Oreochromis niloticus: one gene and its partner. The protein of the gene in region 1 binds, or shares a complex with, the protein of each later gene. Links are inferred from orthologs where the notes say so. Each region holds a gene or a part of one and is shown on either strand. Other genes may lie near its edges.

The links.
Region 2: exosc9 (region 1) and exosc5 share a complex: the UniProt entries of both Homo sapiens proteins name them as parts of the RNA exosome core complex. The link is inferred for Oreochromis niloticus from reciprocal best matches to the Homo sapiens genes EXOSC9 and EXOSC5.

Annotation. Positions count from the first base shown.
Region 1 is NC_031971.2:37,044,717-37,051,847, forward strand, and holds the start of exosc9 (exosome complex component RRP45), read right to left. Parts: upstream 3,026-7,131; 5' UTR 2,932-3,025; coding exon 2,866-2,931; intron 2,658-2,865; coding exon 2,563-2,657; intron 2,474-2,562; coding exon 2,354-2,473; intron 1,594-2,353; coding exon 1,491-1,593; intron 1,402-1,490; coding exon 1,264-1,401; intron 1,126-1,263; coding exon 1,043-1,125; intron 153-1,042; coding exon 20-152; intron 1-19. UniProt on the Homo sapiens protein: Non-catalytic component of the RNA exosome complex which has 3'->5' exoribonuclease activity and participates in a multitude of cellular RNA processing and degradation events.
Region 2 is NC_031979.2:33,449,008-33,456,256, reverse strand, and holds the start of exosc5 (exosome complex component RRP46), read right to left. Parts: upstream 3,047-7,249; 5' UTR 3,029-3,046; coding exon 2,893-3,028; intron 510-2,892; coding exon 396-509; intron 180-395; coding exon 58-179; intron 1-57. Other genes in the region: bckdha (2-oxoisovalerate dehydrogenase subunit alpha, mitochondrial), read left to right, coding at 4,749-4,862, 6,471-6,647, 6,755-6,841. UniProt on the Homo sapiens protein: Non-catalytic component of the RNA exosome complex which has 3'->5' exoribonuclease activity and participates in a multitude of cellular RNA processing and degradation events.

The sequences.
Region 1 (7,131 bases):
GAGCTTTTAAGGAGCTCACCTGCTCTTTAAGGAGCATGATTCCTCCGCTGGACTGGATGGAGCAGATCTCCCTGTGTTTGTTCATGGCGATTACCAACAGGCCATCCATCACTCGCTCCTCCCGCTCACACGGGTCCACCAGCAGGTAAGTACTGCAAGGACACAATGAGGAATGTTAACGTTCAAACAAGTGGTCACCTGCAGGTACTCAGAAGGTCCGCAGAAAATAAGTGGACTGTTTAAGAAAACAGCCCGAGTTCAGTTAAGTTGCTCGCCTGATCGCCTGCATGTTACTACAGTTAAATGCTGGATCAGGTGACCCCGAACCCTCACTCAGTTGTGCCGCTAAAGTCAAATTTATATTCACTCTCACTGGCAAATTTATTAGGTACACCTCGTTAGTATCAGGTTGAGATGATCTGAGTTTTATCATGTGTGCACTGATCATAAAGATGGTGAGCAACAACCCACAGGCAGGCTGTGGAGTTGAAACAAGGAGGAATCCAGAGTTTCCCCCAAAAAAGTCCCTCACACTATCACATCATCACAGGCAGGGTGGACTCATGCTTTCATATCGTTCACCCCAAATTCAGGCGCTATCATGCAAATGTCACAGCAGAAATCAAGGTGCTGTCAGACCAGGTGATGTTTTTCCATGTGGGAAAAGTCCCAGAAGATCAACAGTTTCTGAAATACCCCGGCCCGTGTAACACCAGCAACCACGGCACTGTCTTCATGCCTCAATGCACTGAGCTGCTTAGTAAGCTGCTGAACAGGTGTACCTAACAATGTGTCCAGTGAGTGTATACCACTAATACTTTTCTCTTCTCTCTGTCTCCTGCTTTCCCCTCACTCCCCAGCTGGTCGTGGCAGGCTGATGAGGGCTGCCCCTCCACGAGTTTTGTTCTGGTGGAGGTCTGAAGTGACTCTCTATAAACACTACTGAATATACTGAGTTAACTAAAACCTGCTGCACCTGTAAACATGACATTAAAATTTTGATAAACAGGAGAAAAAAATCTTGTGAGAAGCAATCTTTTACCCTTGTTGGAAGAAGGCGAAGCTGACGCTGATGGGCATGTGGTAGATACTCAGAGGAATAGGGTCTCTCTCCTCTGGACTGTACTGAAGACAGAAATTAAAAAAAAAAAAAAATACAGCTAACATAAAGCAGAATTCTCATGAAAACAATAACATCATCACTTTTCTCCCAGCAGGTCCAGGGAAGCTCAGACACCACCTGCTGTGGTGCTGCTGACTCACCACTGTGACTTCCTGTCCCTGGGTGCTGACGTCAGGGCGCCTGAAGTGGCACAGAGCAGTGATGGCGGCAATGCTGGCGGCATCCATCAGGTTTCCATCATTATTCAGTGTGTGAACATCCACCCTGATCTGCCACACCTAGAAACCCACAAGCAAGCACCACCACCATCATCATCATCAATACATGAAGCTTCTTTCTGTCTGTCGTGTGTGTGTGTGTGCATTACCTTTTCTCCAGACACCACACACAGAGACTCCGTATCGATGCACTTGGAGTTTCTCAGGCATCTCTCCAGCTGTCTGTTTAGCTTCACTGACAGCTCAGACTGTCTGGAAACACAGAAAACCCCACAGATGATTTACACTCTCTGCTCCAGCAGTCTGTCTAAATGAACCAGTCAGCCCCAGGGGAGGACCACTACTCGGGAACTTATTGTAATTTACAATAACTGCAGAGGTCATCTATAATTCACCAGCTATCATTTTCCAAACACAGAGGTCCTCTTACATATTATTTCCATGTAAATCAGAATTGTTGGTAAGCTAAGGTAGCTACAGTAGATCAACCCTTAATTACCTCACTTAGAAGCCAGGAGCAGGAGCACCATAGATCAGATGCCCAAGCCACCTCAGCTAGTTCCTTATGTTAGCAGCTGTACTCTGTGTGCCTCCTGAAAGAACAAGCTCCACACCCTGTCTCTACGACTGAGCACACACTGCCTTTGGAGGAGCTCATGTCTGTCGCTCGCATCCACAATTTCAGTCACTAACCACAGCTCGTGGTGACATAGATGGACAGCTATCGTTTCATGGTAACCTTTCTCCTCACCAAAACAAAAGTGCCACCAATCCTTTTATCAGTGTCCCGCTGCATACATCCCCAACCCAGTCGATACTCCACCCTCATCCAACTGAGAACCACGGCCTCAGAACATGGAAGCTTATTATGGATGCTTTCCAGTCACCAGATCTCATTAAATTCAGGAACAATGTCCCCTACACTCCATAAAAAACACACCATGCTTATTTCTTTATATTCCAGTGAACATAAATGAATGAGCTGAATTCAAAGAGTGAGGTTCGTCCTCACCTTCCCTGCTCAAATCCCGGTGAGGCCATCGGGGACAGCTCGATGTTGAAGAACATGATTCCTTCATTCGGTCGGTTTTCTTTAGGAGCCACCAGCTCGCACGACACCTGCGCCATGACCCTGCGGGGCGCCGTACAGTGAATACAGAGCTCAGTGTACACAGATGCTCAGTTTGACACACGATTGCAAACATGTGGCTGCAACTTAACCTGGTTTGTCCCAGATCCACAAAGCAGCACCCATAGTCAGTCCCAAAGCTGATCTTAATCTTCCTGTAGTCATAGGTCTGCCGTCCATCCAGGCGCTGAAGGAAGAGAACAGAAACAGGACACGTGAGTACGGATGAAAGCCTGCAGGTGTGCTATGGTAAGGCACTATAATACACATCAATCCTCTCTAAAACAGAGCAATGATGCCAGGATAGGACACCGATGCATGTCCTAATGTACATCCTCAGGCTGCGCGCGCGCACACACAAACACACGACAGCGCGTGCTGATTATCTCACCCACCTTTTTCTCTTCGATGGCTTTAAGCAGGAAGTCCCGCTCGCAGTTGGACAGCGGTGTGTCCTTCATTCTGTTTTTGTTATAATATACTGATCTGGTTCACCGTTCCAACAAGCATGTGGCCGCCATCGATGTTTTTTTAACTCTAACCCGGAAGTGCATAAGACACGTGAACGTAAAAGCGGCTAGAATATATATTTTTTTAAATAATTGGCGTATCTCAAATTAATAAGTATTTTATTACACTCCTTTAAATTCATTCAGAATCTTTATTTGTGTCGTATTTCATTATTTTTGATATGTTGGGCGTAGAATTTATTGATAAGGGTCTTTTATTTTGAAATCCCAGCGCGGTGTGATGGCTTGATGCCTTTAGTGACATATTGAAAGCTCGTCCTTTATAGCACTCAGTAGCTGCTTTTTATTCCTTTGGAGGAATTTGGAAATTTTGGAAAACACATCACAAAGCAAAATGTATTTAGTATGAGGATATTCCATTCTTTAAATGTTGTTTTATGTTATGCATTAAAAATAATAATAAAATTCATGTTTTGTCACTCAGTTACACTGAAATATATTTGATAGAAAGGTTTCACTTAAAGAAGGTAAAATTCTCAGTCCTTTCTAGGCTTTTGTGAATGGAATTAAGCTCAATATTAGTAGATTTGCGGCCTCACAAACTAGAAATAAATGTCAATATTATGTGTAATATTATATGAGTATATGCTGCATGTAAGCTTTCATATATCTCCTTCAAATTGTCTTTTCAGCACAGCAGACCTCCTGCTTTCATCTCATCTTGTCCTTAGCATCCACCTCTGACACACTAACCCTCTACATGTCCGCCTTCACTACATCCATGAACCTCCTCTGTGAGAGTCCTCTTTTCCTCATGCCTGGCAGCTCCATCTTCAACACCCTCCTCTGCACAAGTCCAAACTATCCCAGCTTTGCCTCTTTAGCTTTATCTCCAAACTGCTCCAAAACTGACTTCTTCCTCTGATGTACTCATTTCTAATCTTGTCCATCCTGGAGGCTCACAATGAAAATTTTAGCATGTTTAACTCCACCTCCAGCTCAGCTTCCTGTCTTTTTATCAGGACCACCTTCACAGCAGGTCTCATACCATCATGAAAGCCTTCACTTTCATTCTTGCTACTGTCTTTCTACCACAAATCATCACTAACACATGTCTAAATCCCCTCTACCTGCACTTTCTTCTTCGTGTGTTGCTTTGCATGGTTGACTCCAGGAATTAAAATACTTTATTCATTCAAGAGGAAATTATGTTATATGTTATATTTAAACTAATCTGCCTTCACTAGCTTTGGTTTCTTCTGTCTTCACTATTAGGTCTGCCTCCCTGTTCTAGTCTTGGTTTTCCGGACTTTCATTCCTCTTCACTCCAGAGAATACTTCCACCCTTTCAGACTCTCTTCTCACTCCTCCCTACTCTCAGATCACAGGTTAATCTGCAAATCATAGTTCATGGAGACTCCTCCTTCACATCATCTTTCAGCTTGACCTTTACCCTGACAGACAAGAAAGAGCTCTGAACTTGTTTATTTTACTTTTTTCTCTAAATTTTCTATGTTATTAAGCTTTTTCATTTGTGTAATTTGTAAGCTGTTTTATTTATATATTAATTCATTTACTTTTTTTTTTTTAAATATTCAAGATTCAAGATTCGTTTAGTTATGTGCTTAATGTTGAGTGTTCCTTTTCAGTCATTTCATACTTATGAATACCGCTATGCTCTTAATTTCTGCGGTGCCCGAATGCACCCTTTACGCTTCCAACTACCCCTGGTGCGCATGCTCAGTCGCAAAGGAACCTGTCCTCAGCGGCGCACCGTTATCCGGGCCGAGCTGTCATCCACGGTCCATCTCCTGCAGCAGATAACCGTGCTCTCCTCGACTGTATCCCAGTAGTATTCAGCGGGCTCACCCCACAAAACTCTTCTCGTGTTTTTGCGTGGAGAAGCAGTTTTCATCGACGGAGTTTTTTTTTCTTTTCTCCGTGATATCCAGAAGGCGCAAAGGTTTGTTTGCGCTCATTCAATCTCTCTCCATCCTCCCTGTGCGACATCACTGCTAATGTAGCCAGCTAACCGCTGCTGTTCATTCATTTCTGCAACCGAAGAATGCGATATTCGGCGGCCTTTTGGTTTCAAATTAATCATTAGCATCTTCCAATTTAAACACCAGTGTGTGTTGAATTAGCGGGCTCCAGGTACGAGCCCGTTAGTTTATTTCTGGCTGAGCTTATCTTGTGCTAACGTTTGCCGTTTGTGACTGGCGCGCTAACATCAGCTAGCCGAGCAGCTCCTGCAGCCAGAGCTGCTCTCTGAAAGAGCCTGGACATTACTGTGTTTGGTGGCAGCCATGTTAGCGCCTGTGACCTTTTATTTTTTAGTTTTTTTTTTTATTCCTACAGTGTAAACTTATGTTATGACAATGGTTATAAATAGAAAAATGCCACATTGGCGCTGTTTAGCGTCAACCAGATGCTGATAAGGCATGTAGCCCCTGCACACTTCAGCAGGAGGACTGAAGCTTGACTGTGGGTTAAAGATAATGACAGCTGTTGAGTACTAGATTATGTCCACTAATAAATCTGTTTGCTAAAGGGGGGAGTTACCTGCATAACTGATAGACTGACACCAGGTAAGATATGGTCGATGTGTCCTTGCAGGGTATTAGAGGTGTCAGCTCCGCATTTTTGTATATTAAGCATGACAGGGCAAGTTGGGACACCTGAAGCCTAAATCCCCAAACCATAGACAGAATAAAAGATGGGTGTAGCTCCTTGGTTTGAAAAGGGAAGCCAATGGGGAAGTGGCTTACACCTAGTGATGCTCCAATCCAAATTTTTCCAGTTCCAAGACCTCACAAGTCTGCAGATAGTGTTGATCTAATGCCAGTATTTGATTAAGCTGTATTTGTCATTGTGAGGAAGAAACTAGGAATCATTCTCTCGGTGCTAAGGCAACATCAGGCTCAACTTAACACTGATATACTGACGTTTTAAAATAAAATTAGGCACATTCATACAAGATTTTATAATTTGCTAATAATAGTTGATCATTTAGTTTAGAAATTTACGCTGTTTATTTCAGTGAGAAGAATAATGCATGACAGCAGGCACAAGACAAACAATGTTTGGTTTTTTTAATGTATTTGTAGTGGTAGTTTTCCATTTCCTTTCTGTCTGAGACCTTTGAAATGGTGCATCAAGTGTTTCACAACAAGTCACAACAGTGGAACCAGTGTCCTCCTAGCTTCTACCAAATATAATGTCTCTCTGAACAAATGTACAGAGATATAGTAAACAAACAAATGAGTCTTTGCTAAGCTTTTTAATCCTGGCACCACAGTTTATAGTTGAGTAAAAAACATATTCAAACATGTGAAGAAAATCAGTTGATGTTGAAGGTGTGAAATACCTCCAGACTGCTGAACCTTTGCTGTTAACTTCCCCCAGTCTAAATTAGCTCTTCAGCGTAAATACAGGACATAGTACTGGGCTGTTTATGGGCTGTTTGTTGCGGATATCCCATCCAGCTTTTTGAGTGAGGATCTGGGCCATATCTTTGGTGCATTCCTATTCAGTTTTATTATTTTTACCGTAAGCCTGATCTGTTGCTCATCACTGGTTCGTGAAGGAAAGTAAATTAATTTATCCTGCTATATTTTCAGTTTACCTGTTAACTCAACGCTCATTAAACATCACACCTTTAACCAGACCAGCGCACTTCAACCAGGCATTAGCATCTCCACATGGCTGTCACAACAGGGGAAGATGGAACCGTGATAAAACAGAATGGTTCCACCCCATCAAACTTACCTGATTTTTAAATGTCGAGCTCTCTTTCAAACTGAGCTTCGCTTTCAGTCCAAAGATGCAAACACATGAGCAACAGCACAATGCCTTTAAAGATAAGACAGCTTTTTCACTATGCTGCTCTTTCATCATCTCTCCCTTATGTTCATCACAATCCTTTTGATCCTCCTGCACTCTGTTGTTAGCAAACAGAACAACACCAGTTTGGGAATTAAACTTAATTAGGAATTAAGGGAAAGCATGCCGCTGCGCTGTCTCCAGTGATGCTTTTCATTTCCTGCTGCTCGCAACAAGAGCGAGCGGGTGTGGGCTGATCAATGGGAGGTTATTGAAGCTGATGTTCAGCATGCTAAATCGCCACTGTTTAGGTTTCAAATGCGTATTCATACTGTGCGTGTGCTGCGAAAAATAAGAAAGATATTAAAG
Region 2 (7,249 bases), on another chromosome or scaffold:
CCCTACTTGCAGATTGGATATAAACCCCAAAGCTTGCAGAGTTTTACAGAAGGATACTGAACCATCATCATGCAGGACCTGAAGAATGAGAGTGAGCGAGGAGCGTGGATGGAGCGTCAGGAGCAGAGAAGCCTCACAGGTTTCTCGCACACACTGCTCTTGTGATCGTTCCCTTACACCTACAAAACAAACAAATCGAGGTATAAAAAAACTTAATGTGAGCAGAAAGCTCACGTACCCCACCCTGTGGTGAGCTGTGGTATAGCAGCTTTTTCCACAGCAGAAACCTCTGAAACATTCTTGTAGATATCAGGATGCAAAAAGTCTATTTCCCTAAAATAAAATAAGCAACGCTGCATAATGAAATTTTTTACCCCTTAAAAAGAAAAACTCACTTGGCAACCCCACTTTGGGCTGTACCAACACCTCCAGGGTCGCCCGGTCATAGATCTCCTTGCTGACTTTGACCTCAGCTGGTCCGTACACTCCAGCCATCACACTCGTGTCTCCTTCAAACAAGAACAAAAAGGAGCATTTTTCAATAAATAACACTGGAGCATTAATGATGTCTTTCCCCACATAAACAGACATCTAGGAGGGGAAAAGCAGTAACATCAAATCATTGAAAGCAGTACGACACCCAGTAAATATGCTCACAGCACATGTAGTTTTTAAAGAGGGGACTCAAACGCAGACACCCTATTTAGAACAAGCTTTTAATAAGAGAACTAAAGCTGATGTCACAAAGTCTCATCATGTAAATTTCACATTTATTCTTAAGACATTTTTTAAAGACACTGAATCAGCCCATCCATCCATTTCTGCTTATCATTATCAGCTATCATAGGGCGAGAGGCGGGGTACACAGGGTGCTGGGCTCATCTCTGAATCATTCTGGAGTAATAATCTGAATATTAAAGGTAAAAGTATAAACACAAATTACAGAAGGATACTGAGTCATCCCCATGCCCATGCCCTGAACCTTGGTCTTATTGTCCACATAGGTGTTACATTCTGTGACAGACATTATATATGTTTAAAATACATCAAATGCAGTAAGTATACACATTTCATATAAACATAGTCTGTAACTTTCTTATTTTCTTTAGCCCAAATAATTAAACATTTCAGTTACATAAAACATGTACATTTTGATTTGATGTACTGTATAGCCTATATAATAAATAGGCATTTGGCCATTAAGTATAAAATACATAGAGGTACAAGACATGAGATGGTTCAGTTAGAAGTTCAGTTCGGTTAGTTTCACACTCTTTTTAAAATTAGAAATAATCAAATTGTTACAGGCTTTAATTTACACAAATTGCCAGAAGTCTGCACTGTCATGAAAAAGTTTTCACCACAATTTTTCATGATTTATTAGGTTAACCCTCTGATGTCCAGGATATTATTGGCCATTTTTGACTACTTACTAATTTTACCTTTACATTTCACCTTTAAAAACTATTTGCCTTGTCTTGTTTGGTATCATTCTTTTCAGCACAATCTCACATGTCTGAATTTACATCCCCAAAAAAATCTGAGCAGGAAAAAGGTTTTACTGTAAAAAACAAAAAACAAAACAAATAAAACGCCAAAATGTTTCAGAATTGCAAATATAAATTGTAAATTTTAAAAACGCCTGCACAAATCTTGCAAAGAATAAAGATACATGCAACTATTTACCTAATAATGCAGCCAATGCCTCAGACATTTTTGTACAACTACTAAAACTATAATTACAGAACAGGTGTCACAATAAGATGCCACACAAATTATTTGTGCCACTCCAAAAGAAAGTTTCTGTCCACCACAAGAAAGAGGAGCACATCACAGACCTGAAACCTGCAGGTCTAACAACAGTATGCGTATCACTGTTTTTCACCTGGAGACAGCGTTTACGCTGCAATCTGCCTTTGATGGCTTTTGGCAGCAACTGTGACAATCACTAGTGTCCTCATTGTTTTGACACATAAAAACAAAACAAAGAACTACACAACACACTAACTTTACATTAACTACACACTCCAAACACGTTAAATGTCACAAATCTCTCACATCCAATGACTGTAGAATTGCTCTCCCCTTTTCCCCAAAACACAAATGTCACATGTTGCCAGATAATTTTTTTTGATTGGTCAATATGGTACATTTTTCCACCAATAGGAAAGTGGTGGGTTTTTTTCGCGCTGTTATTAGAAAATGCAGTTTTTTAACTTTTCTTGGTACATAGTTTGAACTTTCAACAAAAATGAAAATTAAATGGAGACTGCATCTTGTTGCTATGTCATCTTAAATTGGTCATGTGACTTGGAAGCCTCCAGAGAAGTGTTGAAATCTGAAATGTCCATGGTGTTGATTCAAAATGTGCACAGTAGATCCGCCCCTGGAGGGCGGTTAACACTATGCAATAAATGTATTTTATTTTATTAATTAGTTGTAGCTAGGCTCAAAGTTAATGCTACCTTATTTTAATAAACAACATTGTCATATACAAAGGTAAGATGGCACATGCCACCCCATGCCACCCCATACCACCACAATAGATGCGCTCCTGATTCTCATCGTTACATTATTTTGACAAATAGTTCAATATTTCTTATATTACATTTGCATAATCACATCGAAGCATGTTAAAACCCCGAGATATAAATATGTATAAATAAGATTACCAGTTTTGCGAAAAGGTAAATATTATGCCTGATTAACAATACCCCCCCAGCATGTTTTACTTTTATTCTTATTCATAAAGGTAAAGAAAGTCATGTCAGTAACTGAAGTGGCAGGTTAATTTCCAGAGATGTTCCCTAACCTTTCTCCGTCTTTTAAGTCCAGTTTAGCGGTAAGAGGCAAATAAACGCCCAGATAAATAGTTTCTAAAATTAGTGTTACCTTGGACGAAGGAAGCAGAGCCATCAGGTCGAGACAGCAAGCTCTGTTCACAACCAAACTCTCTCAAAGAAACAGTCAGGGAGCCGCAGACCTCCATCGTGGAGAAAGCAGATTTGTCGCAGGCGGATGGCGTCATCTGTTTTCCCTGTAGTTTACGCTCCTTACTGATGACATCAGAATGAGAAAGAAATGTTAGCTTTAATAAATAGTTAATTCACAAGAAATGTGGATCTGTAATATATATCTATGACAACGAAGAAAAAAATAATATTTTTTCATCATAATTCACGTTTTCCTGACGCAATCTGAAGCCCTACTTTGCCTTAATACGTTTAATGTATTTTGAAAGTACCGGAAGTGCAGCATCCGTATAATAGTGTAAACTGTGAGTTTAACAATGTGTAGTTACTCACAATGACCGCCAGATGGCAGGCAGCAGCTGCATTTAAACACAACGGTGTCAACCTATCATTTTCTTCTCTTTTTTTTTTTTCATTATTCGTCATAACCACCCACCGGAATTTTATCTACATCAGTTTATTTACTGCTTTCCACAGGTGAGCTTTCACTGGCATGATGTGAATTGCAATCACCATGTTGCAGCTCGCGCTATCACCACTAGATGGCGATAAATACTCGTGGCTGCAAAAATTGATTTATCTGCAGTCTGCATTTACAACATCAGTTAGCTCAGAACTGAAGCGAAGACATTTTCAGATTTTGACAAGTAGTTGAAATACTTTATTTTAATATGTCAACGCCTCTACCTGCGATATTACTTGGTTTATCATCGGGACTGGAAGTAATAATATTCTTTACTGTGCATGCCACTGACGTTGCTTTTGCTATTAATGCACTACTGCACTGTGACCACAAGATGGCAGCAGAGTAGGGTTTAATTTTTGGTAGGGTTGAAAGGACGTAGAAATCGTTCTTTTATGACTGTATTTAAGAACACTTGTGTTCATCAGTTTTTCCATACTGCTTACGGCTCTATCCTCCCTTCTCTCTTTTTCTTTCTTTCCTATTGCATATCTGCCCCTGACTCTCTAACTTAGGTATAACTGACATCTCAGGTAGAGTTCGTTAGAGGAACGCTGTTTTATTACAAACTGTTTCAGGCATGTTACAGCTGATCTGTATGTCCAAAAAGACACATGCGCAATTTTTCATTCATTTTTTTTTTTTTACTTTTACTTCTTTTTGTAAGATGTATTATATATCACATTGTAATAACTGTCGTTTGTTGTTAATGTGACTGCGTTGCTGTGTCTGAGCAGGCAATGTGTCTTAAAATAGGCAATACTGATTTTGATAAGTTAAAATCGCCCCAAAAAGGCCACCGGAAAACGACCAAGGCGCTTCGTGACGCATATAACATAGTGACAGTATTTTAATTAACAGGTCAGTATCACACAATGGACTTTCATCAGGTTAATTCCCCGACTGGGAGGGGGAGCTTTAATTCATAAAACTGGCACTCTGCCTTTCTGGAAAACCCACGCATTATTTATTTATTTATTTATTTATTTATTATTGCTATTCTAACACAAAAGAGTGTTAAATCTCGACATCTTTAATCGCTCATTTCTTCAACTTATGAAATATGTAAAAACGGACAACTAAACTTAAGGTTTTATTTTGAAGGCCTGGCCGGATGTTGAGGATACTGTAGCCGGCTTTAATGGTGCAGTCAGTTTGCGGCTATCGGCCTGTAAACTGTGGATGTAAACAGGAAGGACAGCGAGCGGTGGTTATTAGCAGTTCCGTTGGCCAGATTTTTACATATCCACCACAGTGTAACTTCTCTAAACCGGTGTGCAGCGGCGGTTAAATCAAACAACTACTGAGTGCCGATGGCGGCTGTGAGCAGCATGAGCAAAATGTATGGGCTCTGTTTCCACGCTGTCCGCCAGACAGCAGGACTGAAGGCATCTCGACTGCTGCAGCGCAGAGGCTTCAGGGTCACTGTAAGTGAAAACTCCGATGCAGTGTTTGGATAGGGCGATGAATAAATTATGGGAAAAGTCGCTCCTGCGGAGTCTGGACTGGAGATAACGCTGCCATTGAGGGGCCGGGAAACATTTTTTATTTCACCATTCATTAACCGCACAGTTTTCTTTAAGCAAACAGTATTATTATAGTTCTTCATGATTGGGCCAAGTGTCCTCTTTTTTGGAATTCGAAATATTGTCACCCTATCTTTTAATAAGTTTTGGGGTTATGTCTTGTTTGCGCAAAGATTCTGGTTAGCTACGGAGCTGCTAGCATGGCTAACAACCTTGCTGAAATTCTATACCGATTCTCCAATGTATCAGTGAAAAGTCAAACTAACTCTCACATATTTAGTGAATACATGTTTGATCTTTAATAAACAACTTTAGTTGCAATAAATACTAATTTTAATTTTTGTTGTTTTGACTCTCACACTTGACTAGTTAGCCAACCGGCTAAAGGCTTAGCTAGCTTCTTTTCCATTGGTCGAACCAAGGGGCGTGAAGGAGGAAATAGAATAGAATAGAATTCAACTTTATTGTCATTGCACATGTCACAGGTACAGGGCAACGAAATGCAGTTTGCATCCAAACTGCATTAAGCTTAAATCCGATGTCCTCGAATGCATCATTTTTTCAAAACAACTTTATTTAATAACTGTTGCTGCTCTATGGCCTTCGCTGCTATTTTATTTCCTTCGATCGCTCCAGCACTTAAATCTGTATGTAACTCTTTAAAAATAATCTAATTTATTTATTTATAGGTCCATCAATAATCATTTGGAGTGTCTAAAATCTGTATGGGAGGGAGATTTGGAAATGGTTGTTATAGTGGAGCAATGGAACTGCACTGTAAGAAGTACATACTTATTCATGATTTATAAGAGTATTGTATTGTCTTCAGCTTTCTGAAGTTAAGCTTTCTAAAATGTCTAAAGATTCAACGAGTGTTATTGTAGTTAACTAAAACAAAACTAAAAGCTTAAACTAGATGTTAAAAAGGTTACCTAAAATTAGAAACTAGCCTTTTGAAAAAAATAAAACTAAAACTAATAATCAATCAATGAAACTTAATTTTTAATTCCATTTTTATGCAGTTTATTAATTCAGTTCAAAGTGCTGGTGGACAAACCCGTGGGGGGGGAAAAGAGCAAAATACAACGAAGCAACACAAATACAAAAAATATTATTAACAAAATAAATTCAGGTAAGTTGTTTGTGCACACCTCTCATAAGGTCCTACCACAGAATCTCAGTCAGGTTAAAGGTCACTGGGACGTTGGAACACCTTTTTTTCAGCTATCCTGCTGTAGATTTGCTGCTCTGCTTAGTATTATCCAGTTGCATGACCCAGTGGTTGTCAGACACATGGCCTCACATTTGACTCTAGAATACTTTGGTATACAGAAGAGTTCACGGCTGTGTGGCTGCAAAAAAAGCTCAAATCACCCCTCCACCACCGTGCTTGACAGTTTGTATGAGTTTTGTGACCTGATATGCAGTGTTTTCTTTTCCTAGAGCCTTTTTTTTGCCACAGCCACAATGAGATTCTTAATAAATAATGATTGTAATCAATCTTTTCAGGTTGTTCAGCTGCAGCAGCCCTTTGACTCATCGCTGGAAAAGCCCCAGTTTCCAGGAGCCTCAGCCGAGTTTGTGGATCAGCTCGAGTTCATCCAGCCCAATGTCATTTCTGGGATCCCAGTGTACCGGGTGATGGACAGGCAGGGAAATATCATCAACCCCTCTCAAGACCCTCAGGTACAATCAGCCTGCCTGTGCTCCTGGTTCCCAAATGTGCCCCTAAGACCTCTGCAGTCTGTTGAGCCAAAGTTAATTTGTCAATTGTGTGTTTCTCTCCAACACAGCTCTCCAAAGAGACAGTTTTGAACTTTTATCAGAAGATGACCCTGCTGAACACAATGGACCGCATTCTTTATGAGTCTCAAAGACAGGTATGTTTCCTCCTGCATCTCCTGGCTCAACCTGATTATTTAAAACACAACACCAGCAGTTTTTGAACTTTAAAAATTGGTGTCTCAAAGGGTATTTTCTTTATCCATTCATTCATTCATTCATTTCCGCCTATCCACTGTTTTAGGGCGAGAGGCAGGGTACACCCTGGACAGGTCGCCAGTCTGCTGCAGGACTCCTTTATATTAACTATAATTTAAAATTAAAAATGAATACATAAAAATGAGGAGTTCTGGAGGACACAGGACTAGGGAGTGTTTTTGACTGAAAGGCCAACTGTTGCTGATTACTGAACGAAATCCAGCGAGAGCCCTTCAGTGATCCTGTGACACAAGCAGGTAGTTTTATTTCCTCCAGATCTTTTAGTCATCTTGGCTTGAGCTGAACTA